Linked DNA regions of Caenorhabditis elegans. The protein of the gene in region 2 purifies or fractionates together with the protein of the main gene of each other region. This does not show direct contact. Each region holds a gene or a part of one and is shown on either strand. Other genes may lie near its edges.

Region 1 (4,820 bases), on a different chromosome or scaffold from region 2:
CGGCACATTGCCGGTTTGCCAATTTGTCGGAAATTTTCAGTTCCGGAAAATTGCCTATTTGCCGGAAATGTTCAATTCAGGCTATTTGGCGGTTTGCCGATTTGCCGGAAATATTCAATTCCGGTAACTTGCCGATTTGCCGGAAAAATCGTTTGCCGCCCACCCCTGATATAAAGTTTGAACAATTTTTTAATGTGGGGAAAAATTTCCTGCAAATTTGGCAAAATTATCAGAAAAAAAATTTCCAGTAAAAACGTTTTTTTAGAGAGAAAAGTACTAAAACTCCTTAAATTGTTGCCATAATCGTAAAACGTGATAAGCACATTTTTCTGATTCTCTTAAAAATAAATTCAGAATGGCTACATTTTCTGTAGGATTTTTCATTTAAAAAAAGCCAAAAAAAAAGTGAGCTCAACAACGTTTTTCTGTGAGTAAAAAAGCTGTCATTTTGCTTTTTCTTTCTCGTAAAGCAAGACAAAAAAAAATAAAACTAAAGATTAGTATCCGAGAGTTCTTTGTTTTGTTTTCTTGGTAGTTTTTTCCCTAGTTTTCTGCCATCACTCACTCATAGTTTAAAACGTATGTATCTCTAATCACTATATCATCTCCTATTTCTCACTAAGCCCCCCCCCAGCAGCAGTAATCTTCATGCTCTCTCCTCAAAGGGTGGTAGTGATGGTGGTGTCAACGGAGACAAAAAGAGATACATCACTACACAATTATTTTTTTGTTTATTTGAACGTTATAGGTGTAAAGCGACGACGAGCGAGAAGAAGAAGAAGAAGAACAGAGTGAGAAGTGAACGAAAAAGTGTCGTGATTGTTATGGTGGTAACGGCGGGGAAGTAAATGTGTTTTATGCGGTGTCTGGCAACGAAGTTAGGGCTCTCTTGAGCATCTTCTTTTTTTTGACTTTTGTTTTTTTGCTGGTTTTTTATTTGTCATTTCTACTATTTTTGCAACGCAACTGTAACAAAAATACCTTGAAAAAGTGATTTTTTTCGAATTTCCTCCAAAATAGGGCGCCAAATACGGCTTCTTTATGGTAACTTTAGGAGTCCGTCAAAAAAAAAATTGCACCTTTTGTATTAAAAGAATATATAATTTTTTCAATTTGAACATAGTTTCTACAATTTTTATATATTTTAAAAAAATATAATTTCTGCAATTCTGAAATTATTTCAGCAATTTTTATATTTACAAAAAAATAATTTCTACAGTTTTAAGAAAATTTATTATTTCTGCAACTTTTTTAAAAATAAAATTCCTGTCAGTAAATTTAATTTTTTATCAGTGGGGAAATGGTCAAATTTCATAGTGAAACTTTAAAAAAAATTGTTAACTGTTTTTATTTCAAAAAAAAAAGAAAGATATTTCTATGTTTTTAGCTTGAAATCTACCTATAATTATTCTACAAAAATGTTTTTTTTTCTCAAAAAGTACAAAAAATCCAGGAAAAATTTTTTTTGGTCATGTTTGTTTGGAATTTTTTTTCAAATTTTCTCAAGTAAATAATTTAAAAATTCTCCTTTTCTATAGAAATATAATTTCTATTTTTCAAACTGTAATCTGTTCTTTTTGGTATTTTTTGGCATTAAAACTAAAATTTTTATAAAAATTTCAAAGATTTTAGTAAATATAAATTCTCATTAACGCTAGAAGCTTTTTCACAGATTTTCTTTCGCTTCAACAAAATTCTTGAGCATCATAAAACAATGTCTACGACTTCATGCTTTTGAAGCTTTATCTTTTGAGATGAAGTACTACTTATGCTCTCTTCAACAGAAAAAATTTCAAAAAAAAAAGAGAAGCGCTTGTGGAAATAGTTGAATTTTTAGGTTAGAGGAAGATCGACAAGCGGATAAAACAAAAACTCAAGGGACTAGTTTTTCGTAGATTTCTCAACGGAAAACCTAAAGTTTATTATTTTTAAAAGAGATATTTAATTTAAGATTAGAGATTTTTTTGGGCGAAAAGGTTTGAGAAAATGAAAAACAACTTGTGATTTCTAATAAAATGACGGTGAGAAAAAGAAGATGTCGAATACAAAAATAAACAACCATCTATGATCATTTAGTAATCGGAACGTCGAATCAAAAACTAGAATTGTGACTTTTTTAAAAAGAAGTTTTTAAAAAATTCGATTTGAAAATGTTTTTTTCGTCGCATTTTTTCACTACCATTGAGCCCCGCAAAATTGCTCAAAAAGTGGATTTTTGCATATTTCCAATTACTTTTCAATCTTAAAAAAATTTTGTTTTAAAAATCTAAAAACTTTTCAGAAGAAACTTCCATAAAGATGCCAATTTTTTCGAAAAAAAAATATTGGATTTTCTTTTCAATCTGAAATTTGTTTTCACCCAACTTAAAAAATTCCCGATTTTTTCTCAAAAAAATAATAAAAATTTCATAAAAAGCTTCCTCGTGTCTCGTTTCGTGTCTGGATAATAATCCAGACACGAAATTTGGCGCCAAATATGGTAACCGGTCTCGACACGACAAATAGTTGTTAGTTGCAAAAAGGTGTGCGCCTTTAAAGAGTACTGTAATTTCCAATTCTATTTTAAAAATTTTTACTCACATTTTCTAAAACTTATATGTTTCAAAAGAAAAACTATGAAAAATTGATTAAAAACTCCGTAGCGCGGAAAGTTTGAAATTACAGTACTCTTTAAAGGCGCACACCTATTTACATTAACAAAAAATGTCGCTTCGAGACAAAATTTTGCATCTGGGTAAAATTTTAATGAAAAAAAAGCTCAGCAATTCAAAATTTAAAAAGTCTCGAGAGTACTGAAAAAATGCAATTTTTACAAATTTTCAGATCAATTTTTCTGTTTCTCGCCACGGAAAGTGAAGGATTTGCCATAAAGACAAAACAAAAAAAGCTAAAAAATTTTGTCAAAAAACTTCCGGTAATTACCTGTTGTCTCTTCAGCTCCATCATCATAGCTGTCGATTCGATTCAAATCTGTGTCACTTGATGTATGAGACACACTCGGTGCAGAGGAATACCCGCTACTCATCTGAAATATATTTCTTTTATTAAAAATTATGTGAGAAAATATATGTATAAATATTGGAAAAAGGAATAAGGATGTGTCTGTCTGTGTTGACCGAGATAAAGTATGTCTGTGTGTGTGTAATAAAGCAGGAGACTGAGATAGAGAAAACGGGAGAGCCGGAATTTTTTCCGAGTGCTCTTTTTCTAGTTGTTTTATTTTACATGTTACATATCTCAAATCTCGAATGGCTTCCGGCATTTTAAAAGTTTTTAAAAGTGACTTTTTTAAATGTTAAATGCAAGAAAAATAGCGAAAAAAATCAGGATTGTCCACGCAGAGTACACGAGCACGTAAATCTACAAATCGAGGCAAGTGCGCTCCACGGTCAAATTAACAGAGGCCCCACGAAAAGGGGAGCAGAACGAAAAGGGGATCTGCAAAAAGGGGATCTGCGAAAAGGGGAGATACGAAAAATGGAGATACGAAAAGGGGAGCAACGAAAAGGGGAGCTGGCACTGTGCCAAACGCACAAAACGCAATTTTTCTCACGCAACGCACGTTGATTTTTGAAATTTTCTTCTAGAGGATACGCTTAACAGCACGCGACGCGTAACATCGGAGCATCGTTGTATCGTTTTCTTCGAGAAAAATAGCGTTTGGCACAGTGCCAGATCCCCTTTTCGTTAGCTCCCCTTTTCGTATCTCCCCTTTTCGCAGATCCCCTTTTTGGAGATCCCCTTTTCGTTCTGCTCCCCTTTTCGTGGGGCCTCAATTAACACACTCCGCCTCCAAAAAGTTGGTTAGGTATATACAAGGTAAAAGTTTAAAATTTTTAAAAAATCAATTTCGGCTTAAAAATGATTTGAAAAAAACAACGGAATACATTGCAAAAAAGACGAAAAAAATAAAAGGCAGGTTTTTTTGTAATGTATTCCGTTGTTTTTTTCAAATCATTTTTAAGCCGAAATTGATTTTTTAAAAATTTTAAACATGATCTCGACGTAAAAATCATTGAAAATAACCGAAAACAGCAAAAAAAAAAAACAAAAAACCGGAAAATTAATTGAAAACGTTTGAATGTACGATTTTTTCACCAAAAACCTAACGAGACCTAACGTTTTGAGGCGGAGCCCGCGTGCCCATGGAGCGCACTTGTGCTTCGATTTCAAAAGGCGCGTTTTTTCCTATAATTTACATATTACACACATGTGGTAAAAAAGAAAATAATAAATAAATTGGATAAATAAACCACTGTTTAAATTTTCGAGCATAAGCTTAAAATGCATATAATTTATCAATTAAAATTTGGTTTGGAGTGGAGAGAAAAATAATTATATAATTAGTGAAGAATTGAGATAAAACGTAATTAGATTCGATAAAAAGAGAATTTTTGAAAATGTTGTTGAGATCCCAGTTTACAGGTCGGCAGAGGGAGAAGGAAGAGAGAAAAAATCGATATTATACGGAAAGAGATATAATTTATTAATTGTTGCGGATTCCGAGACTTTGCTCCAGCTCGGCTCGTTTTTGTTGGATTTTCTGATACATGTACCTGGAAAATACAGAATTTTGGATATAAAAATGATAAATTATTAGTCATTTGTGAATTTTTTTGATATTTTTTTCGCCAAAAATACGGAGAAATTTAGAAAAATTGTGCAGCCTTAAGGAGTACTGTAACTGCAATTCATCGTTTTGGAATTTTTCCTCGGTTCTTTAAAAAATTTTTTATTTATTTTAAAACTATAAACAAATGTTGACAAATCGCTGAAAATTCCGCAAAAACGAGGAAATTTTCGGCAATTTTAAACATTTT
Region 2 (5,001 bases):
ACCAACTCTACTCCCCCTTTAACCATTACAGGCAACTTACCTACCTATTAAATATCACGTGGCTCGACCTCGAATTTCAAACCTACTATTCTACATTCCTCCATTTATATTTCTCATTGTCGAGGACTTTGTTATTTTCATAATTTGTGGAAAAAATTTAAAACATATCCCAGACAGTTGTACAACGTTCCCATGCACCTTGAATACTTGTGCATATAATTGGTGGACCACTTATAAGTCTGTTATATTTCCTGTGATCATATTCTTCACAATAATTCTTTGCATTAAGCTAATGCTTTTTTCAAAAACTCTGCAAAACTCTGGAGTTACGAAAAGAGTAAGGTCTTAGAATTAAAATAATGATATCAATTCAACAAGTTTGGAAACATTTCAGGCCAATCGACTAGCTCTTCTCGACGCTTTTTTGATTTTCTTCTTCGACTTTGTTCCATCGTTTGTGGCTCACGAGTTTCCCAATTCTCCGTTGATAGCCTACACGACTACAGGACCAGTTACTGCAATGCTGAAGCAAGTCGGAAGAGCAATTGAATCAATTATTGTCATTGAAATTTTAGTTAGAAGACAATCAAAAATTGAGGATAGTCGACGATCTAAAAGATCTACTCAGCCTATACCTCATATTGCCACTATTTCGAAACCTTGAAATTTAACATAAGTCTGAAAGTAAATCTACTATGATGTAGGTTCAAAACATATTTGACTGATGTTTTCCTTGTATAAAAAATGTTGCACACAATAATAGTACTACAACTTCACATCGAAAATACAGTTAAGATAACACCTCAAAAAACTCCGGGTTTGAAATTCGTGGGTTGAATGAGTTGAAAAATCCGCCAATTTCATATTTATCCATTCGAGCACTTCTCAGCTTCAGAAAATTCTCTTTGATTCTCATTAACTGTTTTAGCCTCCGAAGGTACATGGAGTTTTTGTTTTTCAGGTAATACTCGTGAAGGTCGTTTGATAAAACGTCTTGTAAGTGGTCCATCTTTTCTTGGATTTCGCCACCGAATCGTTTGCCTGAAAATAAAAAAAATTTCAACAGTCATTCGTCATTTCGTTTGGGCTTTTAAAAGCCACAAGTTACAACATAATTTCTGTTAAGAAATGATATCCAAACACCGGAAAATGAATTTGCTACGCGCTTAACTTTAAACTAATTTTTTTGAACTTTTAAAAAATTCACCAGTCAAGTGAAAGCAAATACTGCAAATGATAAATGTCGTCTCCACGTCATTTGGCTTCACTTCCATCATTTCCAATACGGCATCTTCGTAGAACAGCTCTCTAGGAACATAGAAACTAAAAATTTAAATGATATTCATATAAAAATATCCAACTTACTATTGCATTTCTTCAAACGGGAGAGTTGTCCAGCAGCTAGCATCAAAAGACATTTCATCCAAATTCAGTGCAAACATTGGGGAGAACACAAAATGCTAAAATAAAAACCTGGATACATATAAACAGAAAGCATTTAAAATTCAGTAACTACCTTTTCTTCGCATTTTTTCTCTAATCTCAATTTTGCCGTAGTGGCAATCCGTTCGAGACGTCCCCAAGTGTACCAGATTGCTTGCAGTATTCTAATTTTTAACGAGTCTTGATAGTTCCTGATTCGTTCGGAACACATCATCCATTTTGCAGCTCCAAACATGGATCTTTCCATATCTTGTGTGACATCACTCACAGATAGATGTACAACCTCTGCTAAATTGTCTTTTTGTGACCACTGAAGCTCGATGAGCCCATGAGTCAGTTGCTCCAAGTTGCTCATTTTTTTAGTTTTTTTGGTGAAAATTGGATTTAAAAGCATGCGAGTTGCCTTATTAACCAGTTGTGATAGATCCACATATGGAAGGACTTGAGAGGTTTTATTGATTAATATGAGTGAGGTGGCATCACGTTTTGGCTCGGTGATCTAGAAATTATTAGATTTTGGAAAAGAAAAATTACTTTGATACTGTGTTTAGTAACGGAAAAGACAAATTTTTTCATAAAAAATTTTGCTGGAAGTTCTAATTTTCTCAAACAAATTTTAGCGGGAAACTCCAGTTTTGTTCTTAAAAATTGTTGAAAAATCTGCTTGTCTCAGTCAAATTCTAGCGGGAAATTCAAATTTTATTAAAAAAAAATTATCCTGGAAATTCACAATTTTTCAAACAAATTTTAGCAGGAAACTCCAATTTTTTTTTCATTTTTCTAGTGAAAAACTCAAATTCCGTTTCTATTATTTATTGTTGGAAATTCAAATTCTAGCGGGAAACACAAATTTCATTTCCTGAAATTTGCTGGAAATTCAAAAGTTTTCAAAGAAAATTTAGCTGGAAACTCAAATTTTATTTTAAAAACACTTCCTGGATATTCAAGTTCTAGCAAGAAACTCAAATTTTGTTGCAAAAAAAATTTCAGGAAGTTCAACATTTTTCAAAAAAAATTAGCGGGAACTCAAATTTTTTTTTCAAAAACAGTTGCTGGAAATTCAAAATTTTTCAAGCAAATTCTAGCGGGAAACTCACACTTTGTCACTAAAAATTTCTGGAAATTCGAAATTTAGTACTAAAATTCAGTGGTTCGAACAGTTCAAGGTTTCAACCAAAAACTTACGTTTTCAGCACTGTCTTTTATTTTTTTCACCGATGATTTATAGGCGTCTCTGTCATATTGGATATCTGAAATATTTTTTTAGTATATTTTTTCCGGAAATTTCAGTCAGCCCACTTGAAGGAGTCATCCCCAATCGAAAGCACCTTTCCAATCGGCAAGTTTTACAAAACCATTTTCCATTTTTATTCGGTCCACATTTTCCTTTGGATAGCCGACATCTACGACGGTTTTCTTTTAGGAAGTGGCAACGTCTAAAATATAAATTTATTTTTTTAATATCAATATAGTATTTTAATTTCAAACCGGAAAAAAGCAGCACAAGCTCTGCAAGAGAACACTCCAAAATGGTAGCCGTGGCCTTTTTCAAAGCAAATTCGGCAGTCCTTCCTTGGAGGAGGCGGCTCTGATGATGACAAGGAAATATTTGAAAAATGATTTGATGTTGATGGACGCGGACATATATTAATCAAATTTTTCATGTTTTTGACAAGAAAAGGTAATGAAAAGAGAGAAAGAAGCCAATGATGACGAAAAATCAGATAAGAGGTAGTTACTGCCAGCGTCGTTGGAGTGAATACACAAAAAAGGAGAAATAGAGAGACATGCAGACAAATGCTGTGGCGGAATGACATACAATGTAAGGTTCGTATTAAATAGTTCAAGTGTACGTTTGCAATTGTCGCCCAAGATCAACAATATGAATTTTGAAAGTTTTCATTTTACCAAAATCTTGAAAAAGATTAAAGAAAGGTGCAGGGAAATTATCAAATAATCCATGTATGTATTTAAAAAAAATGCACGGAGGTGGCAAGTGACATTTTCCAGCAAATCGGCAAATTGCCGGAATTGAAACTTCCGGCAAATCGACAACTCGGTAAATTGCCGGAATATAAAATTTCGGCAAATCGGCAAATCGGAAAGTTGTCGGAATTACAATTTTGCGGCAAAACGATTTGCCTATATTGCCGGAAAACGGCAATTGCAGTGAATTTTCGGCAAATTGTGGTTTTGCACTTTTTTTTTTGAGAATTTGAAAATTTCAATTTTAATCGGCAAAATTGTATGCATCCTATGAATGTCATACATCTATTTTAAAAATAAGCAAATTCTGTAAAAATGTCTAGATAAAACTGGAAAAATTTCAAAAAAGCACAGTTTTAAGTGTTTCCGTCTTATAAAAATCCTTCTAAAAACTTCCAACAAATTGATGTTCGGCAAACCGGCAAATTGTCAAAATTGAAAATTCCGGCAAAAAAATTACCCGAACGGCAATTGCCTTCATATGCAATAAAAAAGGGTTAAAGTCAATAAATTAAAACATGAAACGAAACAGCATAAAGTTGCAAAACGAATCGAAAAAACAGAAAAAAATAAATTAAGTTAACTGAAAGAAAGTTTGAAAAATCGATGAAAATCGATTAAATTATCAGAAAGAAAGTTTGAAAAATCGAAAAATCAATTTATCTGACTATGAATCATATAAAACTACTTTCAAACTACTTTCATGTTACCCATTATTCATCTCCCTGACACCCGCACATTCATGTACCAACTAATCAACTATTCAGATGATAATTCATTTTCTGTATGTTTATTATTTTTCTGTATGTTTATTATCGTATGTTTATTATGTTTATTATCACGATTTCAATCGTAATAAATTCAATTCAATTCAATAATTAGATGTAATTAGCTGTTTCTTTTTAACTCCTGGATAATATTTTCTAGTTTAATGTATCATATTTGCTCAATCCATTTTCCCTCCTCCGTATGTAGAGCTGTACATAGCTTATTTTGAAATTAATCGGATATTAGAATGTCTGGATTAAATGAGTTTGAAAGATCAAAGAAACACTATTTTGCTCTTTCTCTCCATCCAGTTTGGCTTTTCCTAGTTTCAAAATTCTTTTTTTTTCTATAATTTTTTTTGATTTTTAGAACTTTTGAACAAACTCATTTGCCTTTTGGCCATAAAGAAGTGGCTTAATTTTTTGTAATATTGTGTCTGACTACGTTTTTCGAATTAATAATAACTCAATTTAAAATGATAACACGTTTGAGAAGCTGTATTTTTATTGGAAATTTTTATTAGAGTCATAGTTTGAAGAGATCAAATTGACAAGAATACTTTAACCTTCAAACTTGTCCAATACATAAAAGGGAAAGATTTTTGAATAAGGGTTCACAAGGTTCAAATATCTTGAATTGCAATCTTACTCTTCCCGTCATTGCAATGTTGAGGATTTTCAACAAGTTTCAAAAATCGGAAACCAATAAATATATGTACTCCGCAGTCTGCTACCGCAATGATTTTTTAATTTAGAAAAAAGTATGAATCATCAATTGATCGAGTACACTTTAGAAAATGTTTGC

The links.
Region 1: the proteins of nhr-177 (region 2) and ttll-4 fractionate together in Caenorhabditis elegans (co-fractionation; one large-scale study listed by BioGRID). This does not show direct contact.

Annotation. Positions count from the first base shown.
Region 1 is NC_003281.10:10,122,388-10,127,207, reverse strand, and holds the start of ttll-4 (Tubulin polyglutamylase ttll-4), read right to left. Parts: upstream 3,026-4,820; coding exon 2,923-3,025; intron 1-2,922. Other genes in the region: ham-3 (SWI/SNF chromatin-remodeling accessory subunit 1), read right to left, coding at 4,487-4,556. UniProt on the Caenorhabditis elegans protein: Monoglutamylase which modifies tubulin, adding a single glutamate on the gamma-carboxyl group of specific glutamate residues of target proteins. Involved in the side-chain initiation step of the polyglutamylation reaction but not in the elongation step.
Region 2 is NC_003283.11:1,608,466-1,613,466, reverse strand, and holds nhr-177 (NR LBD domain-containing protein), read right to left. Parts: upstream 3,205-5,001; 5' UTR 3,108-3,204; coding exon 2,932-3,107; intron 2,880-2,931; coding exon 2,743-2,879; intron 2,694-2,742; coding exon 2,629-2,693; intron 1,943-2,628; coding exon 1,517-1,942; intron 1,461-1,516; coding exon 1,366-1,460; intron 1,324-1,365; coding exon 1,208-1,323; intron 1,042-1,207; coding exon 791-1,041; 3' UTR 709-790; downstream 1-708. Other genes in the region: srbc-41 (Serpentine Receptor, class BC (Class B-like)), read left to right, coding at 32-337, 395-664.